Linked DNA regions of Drosophila melanogaster. The gene in region 1 interacts genetically with each later gene. Each region holds a gene or a part of one and is shown on either strand. Other genes may lie near its edges.

What was found.
Region 2: of Pdha (region 1) and Pfk, changing one suppresses a phenotype caused by changing the other (phenotypic suppression), as found in Drosophila melanogaster (one study listed by BioGRID).

The regions. Positions count from the first base shown.
Region 1 is NC_004354.4:4,700,522-4,705,834, forward strand, and holds Pdha (pyruvate dehydrogenase E1 alpha subunit), read left to right. Parts: upstream 1-1,803; 5' UTR 1,804-2,010; coding exon 2,011-2,070; exon of another isoform or gene 2,071-2,170; coding exon 2,171-2,371; intron 2,372-3,033; coding exon 3,034-3,598; intron 3,599-3,673; coding exon 3,674-3,996; intron 3,997-4,066; coding exon 4,067-4,249; 3' UTR 4,250-4,744; downstream 4,745-5,313. Other genes in the region: CG7024 (uncharacterized protein), read left to right, coding at 5,043-5,165.
Region 2 is NT_033778.4:10,107,911-10,115,756, forward strand, and holds the start of Pfk (phosphofructokinase), read left to right. Parts: upstream 1-1,829; 5' UTR 1,830-1,931; coding exon 1,932-1,975; intron 1,976-2,022; coding exon of another isoform or gene 2,023-2,040; coding exon 2,041-2,143; intron 2,144-2,195; coding exon 2,196-2,263; intron 2,264-2,321; coding exon 2,322-2,637; intron 2,638-2,959; exon of another isoform or gene 2,960-3,518; coding exon of another isoform or gene 3,519-3,563; coding exon 3,564-3,665; intron 3,666-4,706; coding exon 4,707-5,048; intron 5,049-5,105; coding exon 5,106-5,260; intron 5,261-5,374; coding exon of another isoform or gene 5,375-5,483; intron 5,484-5,632; coding exon 5,633-5,741; intron 5,742-6,215; coding exon of another isoform or gene 6,216-6,324; intron 6,325-7,006; coding exon 7,007-7,195; intron 7,196-7,404; coding exon 7,405-7,846.

The DNA.
Region 1 (5,313 bases):
GCGGCAACTTAATTTGATCTGCTTAAATTATTTTATTTTACAATGTGTCTTGGTTACTTAAGACTAACAGATTTTTAATCCTAAAAAAGATAGGGAGAATTATAATAGTTGATATAACATAGTAATTATTATTTATTTGATTATTCTAATGAATTTTAAAACTAAGACTTTCTAGGTCAAAACCAGGTTAGGGAGGTCATGAGGGTGGTGTGCAAGCAGTAATAAAACAAAAAGGCGGAGAAAGTCGAAAGCAAAAGCAAAGACAAAATAAATAATTATCATCTTGTCGTTTATATAAGTGTGTGCTATGTGTTTCTCCGAATCGGATTTATGTTATATAAAACAGAAGAACAGTAACAATTTAAAGGCAAATTTCAAGGAATGAAAGCGAACAGTAATAAGAAACAAGGAAACCAAAAAGTAAATATATATATTCATGCAAGAAATACAAAATAAAGTAAACATTGGTGTAAATTAAGCAAGAACCTAAGTAAAACCTACTAAAAACAACCAAAAAAAATAAGAAGCTTAATACGTAATTTCCTGAAAACAACAGAAGACATATGCAGAAATCACACACATTTACCGTTACTTTTCACACACATACAGCACCTCTCTCTCTTTAGCTATTGCGTTTTAGATTATTGCTCAGCACGTTTTTGCGTAGACACAAAACTATTTATGCTAACGGTAAGATAGAACCTCCTCTCTCTCTCTCACCCACACACACACACACCTCCCCCACTTACACACACACAAGCACTCGCAAAAACAAGAAGACGAAGAGAAAAACTAAATTTTTTTCTTATAATCGGAATGCCGGATTTCTAACGGGAAAGGAAACAAAAACACAACAGGACTTCTAATAAGTGTTTATACATACAAATATATATATATATACATGTACATGTATACATATGAAACAAAACAAAAAACAAAGCAAAGCATAATTTTTTGTCATAATGCAAAATATTTGTGTGAGAAACCAATTTTTGATGTAACAGAAAAACGCGCGAAAAATTGAATATGTGTAACGGTAACAGAGCAAAAGATAGATAAAAGAAAGTAAAAAATTTATTTCATTCGCTTAGTTTTTCCCAAACGATCGATCCATTTCCTCATTTTCCGTTAGTAACTTTTAAACTCAAATCTTTTAGCTGCCATTTCTAAAGCAAAAAAAAAAAAATGAAACAACAAACCGAGAAACCAACAAATACAAAAACTAGTTTAAAATCTTAGTTTGTAAAGCGTTTATTTGAATTTAACTGTTTAATTCTACTTTACCTATTTCTATTTAACTGGTTTTTTGTGCAAGGAACAAACATTACTTAAGTTTTTGTAAGAGATTAGTGAATTATGTGAGCTGAGTGCGATATAGAGCAGTATTGCAATTGCAACTGCAATCGCAAATGTGGATTTATGGAGGCAATTTCAAGTAACAATACGAGTAAGAAATGAGAAAGCAAACAAAAACCAAATGAGATCTTCAATGTGAAATAAAAGTACTTCTTTGAAAACCCTCGTTTTATTTGGGCGGCAAAGTAATATAAAATGTGATTGAGTAAGTATTTATTCGAGTATTTCAATAACCGCCAAACACTACTATTATTTTGATATAACATTGTGTGACACATTATATAAAAGCTTATTGAATATTTTACGTAAACATTTATATTTCAAGTTATATTGAAAAAGAAAGTTCGATAAGCTAATTTAGTATTTTTTGAAAACAGGGAAAGCTGCAGTATTTTATTTAGGGTCACACTAATAGGCCAAGTGGTGCGTTATTTTTCGCTATAACGCCAAACGGTTGTTATAGTTGTGCAATATAGTAGTTGATAAACTAATCTCGCTACCTTTTTTTCCGATTGTTTAACTTACAACGACGCGCGGCGGTGCGACTGAGACACCAGATATATAGCGTGCGATTCTAGATCCGGACAATCCGCATATAGAAAGCCCCCATTCACATCCAATTTCTGTCAGTCGAACGAGAATAACACAGCGAAAATGTTGCGTACTCTGTCACGCGTTAGCGAATTGCCCATTATTGTTAAGCAACTGCAAAAAGTACGTAATCCCAATCCCGCTTTGCACCCACTAACATTTCTAATTGTTGTCACTAAAAATGCAATTGAACAAATCCATTCGATAATGAAAACACTAAAAGCGTTGCCATAACAACAACAACAACAACATCATCATCAGCGGATGTCGGATACTTAGCAACAACAACAACAACAGCAGCATCGATATCATCAGGAATGGGAGATATTCATCGTCGTTTTTCGGTTTATTCCAGAATGCAGCCCAAGCAGGTGTTTCGAAAACCAACAATTATGCCACGGAGGCCACCGTTCAAGTGAATCGGGTGCGTATTATAGCATTAAGTACTTGTAACTCAGGAAAATTCAAAAGTCGGAAGGGAAAAAATACGGTTACATAATGCGATTTTCGCCAGATAGCAAACGGTTTGCGTGTGTGTGTGTGTGTGTGTAAGTGCAGGGTTGCATTTTGCCGGTCAATCCGCTCATTTTCAAATGACAAGGTCACGCAGTAATTTGTAGTTTTCCGTCTCCCACGCTCTTTATCACCGTCTGCCTTTTGCGTGGCCGACGCGTGACTGTTCACGCACCATATAACATATAGTCTTATCAACGATCCGCCGATTTTCACCCTCTCTCTCTTTCTCTCCGTCTGTCTGTCTGGCTCTCTGTTTACGTCGATTCTCACGCCATAAATTAGCCGCCATAAATCCAAATTTGGTTTTTGGAGCATACTTCCGAAAATCCTCGATATGTGGTTATAGCTCTCTATAGATTAGTATACTTTGATTAGAGAAGCTTGAAGCCTATGGTTATTTGGTTTATCCAATCAAACTGCTATCATTTTATTACTTATCATGCGTTCCAAACGTTTCCGTTACGTTCTTATCAGATGTGTGTGTCAGTTGTTAATGTAAAAGTAGAAAACGTTTTTAAAATTAATGAAGTTTAGGGATCTAAATTCTAAATATGCTTTCCAACTTTGCAGCCCTTCAAGCTGCACCGCCTGGACGAAGGACCCGCCACGGAAGTGAAGCTGACCAAGGATCAGGCCCTCAAGTACTACACACAGATGCAGACGATCCGTCGGTTGGAGACGGCCGCCGGTAATCTGTACAAGGAGAAGATCATTCGCGGCTTCTGTCATCTGTATTCCGGCCAGGAGGCATGCGCCGTTGGCATGAAGGCGGCGATGCGGGATGTGGACAACATCATCTCGGCGTACCGTGTCCACGGATGGACCTACCTGATGGGCGTCTCACCCAGCGGCGTACTGGCTGAGCTCACCGGTGTCCAGGGTGGCTGTGCCCGCGGCAAGGGTGGCTCCATGCACATGTACGCACCGAACTTCTACGGAGGCAATGGCATCGTGGGTGCTCAAGTTCCTTTGGGTGCCGGCGTTGGCTTGGCCTGCAAGTACAAGGGCAATGGCGGCATGTGCCTGGCCCTCTACGGTGATGGTGCCGCCAATCAAGGACAGGTGTTCGAGGCTTACAACATGGCCTACCTGTGGAAACTGCCTGTGATCTTTGTCTGCGAGAACAACAACTACGGTGAGTGCTGTAGAAAGTGGAACAATGCTAAAAGATATTTACTTAAACCAAATGTTGTATAATTATACCCATTAGGAATGGGCACCAGTTCTGAGCGTGCTTCCTGCAACACTGATTACTATACCCGCGGCGACGCTCTGCCCGGAATCTGGGTGGACGGCATGGATGTGCTGGCCGTGCGCAGCGCCACCGAGTTCGCCATCAACTATGTGAACACTCACGGACCTTTGGTGATGGAGACGAACACGTACCGATACTCTGGACACTCCATGTCCGATCCGGGCACATCGTACCGCACACGCGAGGAGATCCAGGAGGTGCGCCAGAAGCGTGATCCCATCACCTCCTTCAAGGAGCTGTGCATCGAGCTGGGTCTGATTACCACCGATGAAGTTAAGGTGGGTTTGGCTTATAGGGTTTTATTTTTGTTATGAGTTATGATTGCTAAAAGAAAAAAACATCTTCCAGGCCATCGATCTGAAGGTACGCAAGGAGGTCGACGAGGCCACCGCCTTCGCCAAGTCCGATGCCGAGCTGGGCGTGAGCCACCTCTGGACGGACGTGTACTCCAACAATCTGGAGCCCAAGCTGCGCGGCACCATCGCCTACGATATTGATCACATCCAGGAGCGCAAGGGCGTCAATCACTAAGTCATCGGGCCAACGAATCTGATTCGGGAACTCACAAGAACCTTAAACGAAACAAGAAAACCGAACAGCAAACACAAATCACTGACAGACAGACAAGAAGACACAATAACTCAGAAACTTGGACACAAGCGAAATCTCTAGATCATAAGCCGAAAGTTGAACGATGAGAACCCCGTAGAACGGAACGGATCCGAAGAGACCCACAAAAAGCTTAGCTAATCGGAGCACTCCAACCACACATCGTAGCGCACCACATAACTCTGGGGTACTGCATTGGATATTATATTGCGAACGTGTTCAATAAGGATAAAGCGAGGTGTAAATTGTTGAAAATATAAAAATCTAGAAAAATTAATCCAAATTAGTTTTCTTAACAAAAGTGAATCAAGTATGTACTTTTGAAATGTGAAAATCTCAGTCTGTTTCACCTATACTTGCACTATAGAATTTTGATAGATTTATAAGATATTAATAAACGGAATAGATTTAATAGATAATTCGATTTGTGGAAGAATTACAGTTCGAATCAAAGTAGTATTTGAAAAGGAGCAGTTGTCAGCTCCATAAGCAATCCCAAAATCGTTATATTTCCTTCTCGTTCTGTTTAGTGACAGTTGCCATCTCTGTCGATTTGCTTATGATTTTACTGTCGATTTCTTTTCGGTTGAGTACAAATCCATTTTTCAACAATTTCCGATCATATTCAAAATTTTAGTGCGTGGCAATTGCCCATTTGGCTACAAGCTCATTTTAGTGCCCCGGTGTTTGGGAATTGGTATTCGGGCAAGGGCCAATGATGAAGTTCAGTTGTGTCCGCGTGGCGATGAGATGCAGTGGAGCCCACTCCATCCTCGAGAGAAATATGCTCTGCAGGATAATAGGGCGCCACAAATGTAGCTGTTTGACCCTGGAGAACGTAAGTGTTTTGATTATCACAAGAAGGTCAATGGATAAGTAAATACCATTGAAAAAAGCTATATCGTAAAAGTTATATTTTTCATTTTGAATTAAATTATGTACTCTGAAAAATGTTTAAATATTTGCTGTTAAGTATAGCTGATATA
Region 2 (7,846 bases), on another chromosome or scaffold:
TTAGCCGGGTTCCGGTTGCAAGCGAATCCAGTATACAGATGGTCAAATGCTTGGACAGATGCCGGCCAATCCGACTCAAATGTAGCTTAAGATCTGCAACTGCTTAAGAAATACAGAAAAATACAGCATCGCTGTGAGGGTCAAACGAATGCGGACTATTTGGGAGTTTGGCATGATTTTTCCGGATTTTGAATCAAATTAATCTAGCAGATAATTCGTTATTGTGTGTGTTTTTCCCGATCGAAACGGCCAAACTCTAGATGCTCCGAATTTGTTCGCCCTGGCGGTGCCTCGTGTGGATTTCCTCCTTACAAAACAACAAAAAAAAAACAACTAAATAATATTCCTAACTGTATACACAAGAAATGAAATGAGATAATCGGTTATTATACGTTTTTTGCAACAGTCCAAATTAATATTTAATTTTCGTATGGCAACAGAAACAACTGCAAAAGATACAGCAACAACAACAACAACCAAGCGAACCAAATGAGAAAACAAAAATAAAAACAAACTTATGTATTATTTGTAATTCTTTTTCTAAACAAATAAAACCAAAAAACCTAGTTTCCCATTTTACGTTTATTTCATTTCGAAATTGGTTCACTTTTCGTTTTTCAACCTGCCCCCCACACACACAAACAGAAGCACACACAGATACACACAGTCACACACAGACAGGGCTGCATTTATAATGCACGTGCGGAAATCGGTTCAAATCCCATGAATCAGGAACCATATCTGTTAGAGGAATGTGGCGAGAACGGAAAAATACAGAAAATATATAATTGTTCATTGCTATTTTTTATACATGTCTTACATAAAACAAAAGGGTTAAATCTACAATTGCAATTTCTTTGTTGTTTTTTCTTGGTATAAACAATTGTGAAAAGCATAACTCATATAATACATACATATAACCAACTGTCGTCTGTCAAATGAATTTTTCGAACGAAATGAAATCTAATATCCCCTCGCGGAAGTCCACTAACATTTTTTTTTACTGTGCAACATGGCGAAGGCACGAGTTTTATTGTGCGCAATGTCTGCCCAATTTCCCATTTATTCGTTAGTTGGGTGTAACTTTTTGAAGTACATGCATAAATATGTGTACGTTTAAGCCCAGAGAAGCGTTTCCCCAACAAAGAAACAGCCACAAATTGTTCCTAAAATCTGGCGATTATTTCTTAGCTGTTTTATTATCGTTCGAAAACGTGGTCGACTTCTTCAATCTATGACAATTGCAGCCTGCAAATCAGCAATGGAATTATTAAAACGGAAGTTAAATGAAGATCGAATCAAAATACATAAATATTGTGAACTAAACTATTCAAATTTTTAATTTAAATACAAGAAAACTTTGCATGTGTATTGAAAGAAAATATATTATTGTCCAGCATACAGAACATATGTATGTATGATAAAAGTAAATGTATATTTTCGCAATTGAATTTATCGCTATATTATGAATGTGAGGAATATAAAAAAAAGCAAACAAAAAAATATATATTTAAATAAAAGAAACACTTTTGCCGCAACGCTAATAAGTCGAATCCCAGAACATATAAAATAATAATATTGTGAAACTGCAATACATTCATAAAACCGAAAAATAATAACAACCAGATGAAAATTAAACCGGGTGTAGGCGTAAATTGTATGCATATAACAGAGGCAAAGATTGATGTATGAGTGGAATATTTAAGTTTATTGAAATTACAGTTTCTTAATTACCAACAAAAAAAAAACAAAAAATTAAATAAATAATACAAAAACCAACCAAATGAGTTTTTATTCAAATATAATATTTGTGATCGTAGTTACATTAGCTAAAATGTCAAAAATCATAAAAAAAAAATGAGTTCAGAAAATGAAAAAAATTGGTAATCTAATAAAAATGTTCAATATTTAGGAGCAAAATTTAGTTTGGCATGCATTCAATAAAATTTCGAGTATTTACCAAATTAAAACCTATGTAAGTTGTTGTCTGAATTTGATTTATTCACTACACCCACTTATAAGCTGTTCGATTGTTTGGAGATTTTTGGAAATCAATGGACGGATACCCATTTGCCGCCATTTTCATGGTCCTACAACATTTCGCTTAGAAATCTCAAACAAAACACCTCCGATTAGGCAAAAGGTAAAAATCGAATTTAATTTTGATCAATTTATAAGACTTTGTTTTACTTTAGCTCACATTTCCAAACATCGGCATCCAATGCACACGAAGTCATCATTTGTGTTGTCCTCGAGATATTTCGTATGTGCTTATATAGTTTGACTTTATATTATAACACTTCTTCCTTTTACTTGCTTAGAGGAAATACTCTTTTAAGTGTAAAATTTAATTGCAAACGACATTGTATAAAGTTGCGCAGTGATTCTGGTGATCAAAAGAATGATAGTCCTGGTGAAAAAAACATACAAAAAGACAAGTCTGCGCAACGATGTGGAAAACCAATAAACAATCTGCACAACGGATTTCTTAATGCTGTGAACTATTCTGAAAAGAATGCGGTGAAAAAGAAAAAGAGTGCACCAAAAAGGAAATGTGGCAAATCGGTGGATGAGCTGCGAAAGTGTTTAAGAACCATGCAGGATGTTATTGATTTTGTACATCCAGTCAAGCCTTTTGTAAGTTTGTCTCGCTTTTTACAGTTTTTTAAATAATTACGCACTTAAACGAGCACTAATATTCAACGATAAAAGCTCTTACATTTCGTTACTTTACGCGGATAGTTGTAGATAGGGTAGAACATCAGTTGAACACTTGAGATATAGCATAATAATTGGCGTTTCATAAACATTTTCGAATCTGAGGATACATTTTCCGGTTTTTTGAATATCAGAATAACGTATTATATAAACGATAACGATAACGGCAATCGCACCCACACACAACCGATGACTGCTCCCGAATTTCCCCATTCCCAGCGGTGAAAGCTCGCGAAAGCTTTTACTCGCCCAGTGATAACCAGCTGATCAACAGCTGAACGATTGTGGGTCGAACATAAACAAATTGGTTAAACGCTATTTTCCGCTCGTTGCTAGTCGCGAAAAGTCCGTTCATAACAGACAGAATCCTCAGATTTTCGACCTAAATCAAACCAAGTTAGGGCAATCGCGTTGGAGCGAACTCTTGGGCGGATTTAGCCATCCGAAGTTTGCATTGCATCAGTACGCACTTACAGAAAGCCCGTGGCTGTGTGCGTGTGTCCGTGTGTGTTGTGTATGCGTCTCTGGCCTGAAGGTCACCTTGAAACGTCAAAAGCAAAAGCGAAACTTGTGAATACCGCCTGCGAGCGTACATATTGCTAGTAACTGAAAAGCCACGGCAAGGAGCAGTAGTAGTATTTATAGCCCACTTGGATATAACCCAGCTCCAGCGGCGCTGCTCGCATAGTTGCAAAACAGGGAAACTCCCTACCGAGTACAATAGTGGTTCATAGTGTGTGCTTTGTGCGATATCCGTTACGACCCCAGTTTGATTTACATATAGTGCAAAAGATTGAAAAATGAATTCCGAGATTAATCAACGATTCCTGGCCCGCGGCTCGCAGAAGGACAAAGGACTGGCGGTCTTCACCAGCGGCGGGGATTCCCAGGGCATGAATGCCGCCGTGCGAGCCTGTGTCCGTATGGCCATCTATTTGGGCTGCAAGGTGAGTTGGTGACCTCTGTCAAGTACTTTCCGCCCACGCAGCATCGCGTCCGGTGACCCCGACCCCCAGGCACAGGCAACAAACCCATGTGAACCCAGAAATTTACGTAAAACACCTGGTAATTTGCTTATCAGCAGCCGTTAAACCACGACTATTGGGCCGCAAAGCCAGTTAGATAATCTCCAATCGGTGCGAAAAGAAATTCAAGAATATATGTGTACATGCACATTGACATTGGGTTTATTTTCGGGTCCCTCACATGCGATTTCGATTTCGGCTAATTTGTTTCGTTTTTTTGTTGTCGCTCTTGGTTTCTATTCGGTTTATTTAAATGAGTTCTTTAATTTGTTAGGGAACTTCTGGCCGGCCGTTGGTCCCTCGAAAATATGCAAAAAATGTGTCAATTGCTAGCCAATTTAAATTGATTAAAATCTATTCATTTGATTTCAATTTCTTGGGGGTCAATAAAAGTAAAGTTATTGCCACGCTTTGCATGACAGCGCTTGATATGTTCAATAAATTGAACAAAATTAATAAATATATCATGAGTATGCTAAACAAATGGTTCCAAATCAGTTCAAGTAATCTAACCTTTGTTTTTAATCTACTAGTGCCTTGGCATCATTATTGTTTATGTTATTTTTTCACTTTTCAAATTAAGAGCGTTATAAAATTTGAATTCTTGGTTATGTGAGTTGCTTAAAAAGTATCGATTTAACATCGATTACATTGTAATTACCTGTAACGGTATTTTGAATATGCAAATGTTTTGTTGTTTAAAACTTAAACTTATTCAGTAAAAGTTGAGAAAGTATATGAGATAAGTCATATCATATTAATTTCTATTGACTGTTCTTTACTGCTTCCTATTAAAATATTACGACTTTGGCAGAGTGAAAATGAAATTAAAATAATTTATACTCGAATTCGGTGATTCATTTTTAATTGTGCTAATGATGTCATGTGCCATGAAGATACCAAACTCTATACCAAACTGTTTTACACCATATCTACAATTGATTCGTGTTTACCTTCGGCAAGGTCTACTTCATTCGTGAAGGCTACCAGGGCATGGTGGATGGTGGCGACTGCATCCAGGAAGCCAACTGGGCCTCAGTCTCATCCATTATCCATCGTGGTGGCACCATCATTGGCTCCGCCCGTTGCCAGGACTTCCGTGAGCGTCAGGGTCGCTTGAAAGCCGCTAACAACCTGATTCAGCGAGGAATCACCAATCTGGTGGTCATTGGAGGCGATGGCTCCCTCACGGGCGCCAATCTGTTCCGTCAGGAGTGGTCCAGCCTGTTGGACGAGCTGGTCAAGAACAAGACCATTACCACCGAGCAGCAGGAGAAGTTCAATGTCCTGCACATCGTTGGATTGGTATGCTACACAGAGTATTCCTTGGATATATTTTCTTATGGATGAATCTTTTTGTAGGTTGGCTCCATCGACAACGATTTCTGTGGCACTGACATGACCATCGGCACGGACACGGCACTACATCGCATCATCGAGGCAATCGATGCCATCTCCAGTACAGCCTACTCCCATCAGCGCACCTTCATCATGGAGGTCATGGGTCGTCATTGCGGGTAAGTTGATCTCTGAGCGGATATTTGCGAGGAAAAGTTGGGATGCCTCTGTATTAGCCTAAGTGTCAGTGATTAATTGGGATTTTAGCTAATGCCTGGAACGACTATCTCTAGCTATCTTTCGGTGGTAGCTGGCATTATCTCCGAGGCAGACTACGTCTTTCTGCCCGAGTCTCCTCCGCAGGCCGATTGGCCCGATCGACTTGTCCTTAAATTGGAACAGGCAAGCCCAAAACGGAAATCTGTTGAATGTCGTCGACTCATTTCGCACATTTCTGTTTCTATGGCCGCAGTACTATGTCGATCGATCCCCATATCCTCCAAAATCCCATCCCCCTTTTGACTAATATTTTGTAATATATATTTTTGCAGCTATTTAGCTCTTGTGGGTGGACTGGCGTGCGAGGCGGATTTCATATTCATTCCCGAAATGCCGCCCAAGGTCGATTGGCCAGACAGGCTCTGCTCTCAGCTGGCCCAGGCAAGATGCAGCTCCATTTCCATTCCATCAGCACTGCGAGAAGTCGCAAAGCATCGGAAATATGTTCTCGACAGCTTGTATAGGATTTTAGGATATTATTCTTATTAATATAGCCAGTTAGCTGTCGAGATAATATTCCTGTTTTAGATAGAGTTGTATACTTCAGTGCAGTTGTCGTTGCTTGATGCTTAAGTAGTACACCTGTACACAATTTTTTGAAAGACACATTTTAAGAGCGACACTTGCCATACAAACGCTTGTTCTTATTTTCTGCTTACTGCACACGAATGTATCTTTAAACACAAACCGGAGATACGGAATGAATTACGCACAGTTTTTGTCTGTACCAGCATACCGAAATCATATTGTAACTAATCTTAAGTTTACCCCAGATACTCCCAATCCCCGGATAATTATCTCCCCGACATTTGTGAACCATCTTTTATTTTTGTACCTAATCTCTTGTTTTTTTAGTTACTTAGCCATATCGGCAGCCATAGCCACAGAGGCTGATTTTATGTTCATACCCGAGGAGCCGGTGTCAGTCAATTGGAAGGACGAGATCTGTGTCAAGCTCCACCAGGTCAGGTCCAGAGTCCTTCGCTATCCAATTAATTTCTAGTTACTCTTTTGTCAAATTTTTGAATTTCTAAATTTTATTCTGCATTGTTTTTGGACTATTCGATGTGCCGAAATTTCCATGGCGATAAACAGCTTTAACAGCTATTTGATTTACTTGTTTGGGTTTTGAGTCTCTGTTTTATGTACTCACGATGATCTCACTGAGTTCCCTTACTAACTTTTCCAAATCCACTAACGTCCATCCTCGTTTAATCGATCAGTAAATCTTCATCAATGTTTTCTATTCATCGACTTTGACTTGTGCGTCCATTCTTCATATTTCAAAACACCAATTCAGTTGCAGTGCATTTCAAAGTTTCAAAACTGATTTAAATACTTAAATACATTGAAAAGAACGTGCACACAGCCATTTTAATGATGCAAACTGAAATACATGAATATCACAGAATAACGTGAGTTAACTTTATGAAACGCACTGCACTCATTCGCTTGCTGATACACATTTGGTGACACTATTTCAACATTGTAAAGCAAAGCATATGTAAACTACATTTTTTTTGTTATGATGATGTCTACTCATCATGCCTCTTCATAATTCGTTTGTGCTTTTGTAGTTTCTGTATCATTCACGATTAGTATCTTACATATATGCTTAAGTGAATCCCTTCACCATTGACCAACAGGAGCGATCTGCTGGCCAGCGTCTGAACATCGTGATTGTGGCCGAGGGAGCCATGGATCGCGAGGGTCATCCCATCACAGCCGAGGATGTAAAGAAGGTGATCGACGAGCGTCTGAAGCACGATGCCCGCATCACTGTCTTGGGTCACGTGCAGCGCGGTGGCAATCCCAGTGCCTTCGATCGTATTTTGGTAAGTAATTATCCAAAGATCACCTCAAAATTTAATTTTAATTAGTAATTTACAATGCCAGCTATTTTTGTTTTATTTGTATAGCATACTTATATTAAGAAGCGCTGTAAATCCGATTTAAAACACTAAAGTTACCAAAATAAGATATACTTATTAAGATATAATTACACTATTTTTGACTTGAGAGTTAATGCTTCTAACCCGCATAGGCTTGCCGCATGGGAGCTGAGGCCACTTTGGCCCTGATGGAGGCCACCAAGGACTCGGTGCCAGTGGTCATCTCTCTGGACGGCAACCAGGCGGTTCGCGTGCCGCTGATGGAGTGCGTAGAGCGCACCCAGGCTGTGGCCAAGGCCATGGCGGAGAAACGCTGGGCGGATGCCGTCAAGCTGCGCGGACGCTCCTTCGAGCGGAATCTGGAGACCTACAAGATGCTGACGCGCTTGAAGCCGCCCAAGGAGAACTTCGACGCCGATGGCAAGGGAATCGAAGGATACCGCCTAGCTGTGATGCATATTGGTGCTCCGGCTTGCGGTATGAATGCCGCTGTGCGCAGCTTCGTGCGCAATGCCATCTACCGCGGTGATGTGGTTTATGGAATCAACGACGGTGTCGAGGGTCTGATTGCCGGAAATGTCCGCGAGCTGGGCT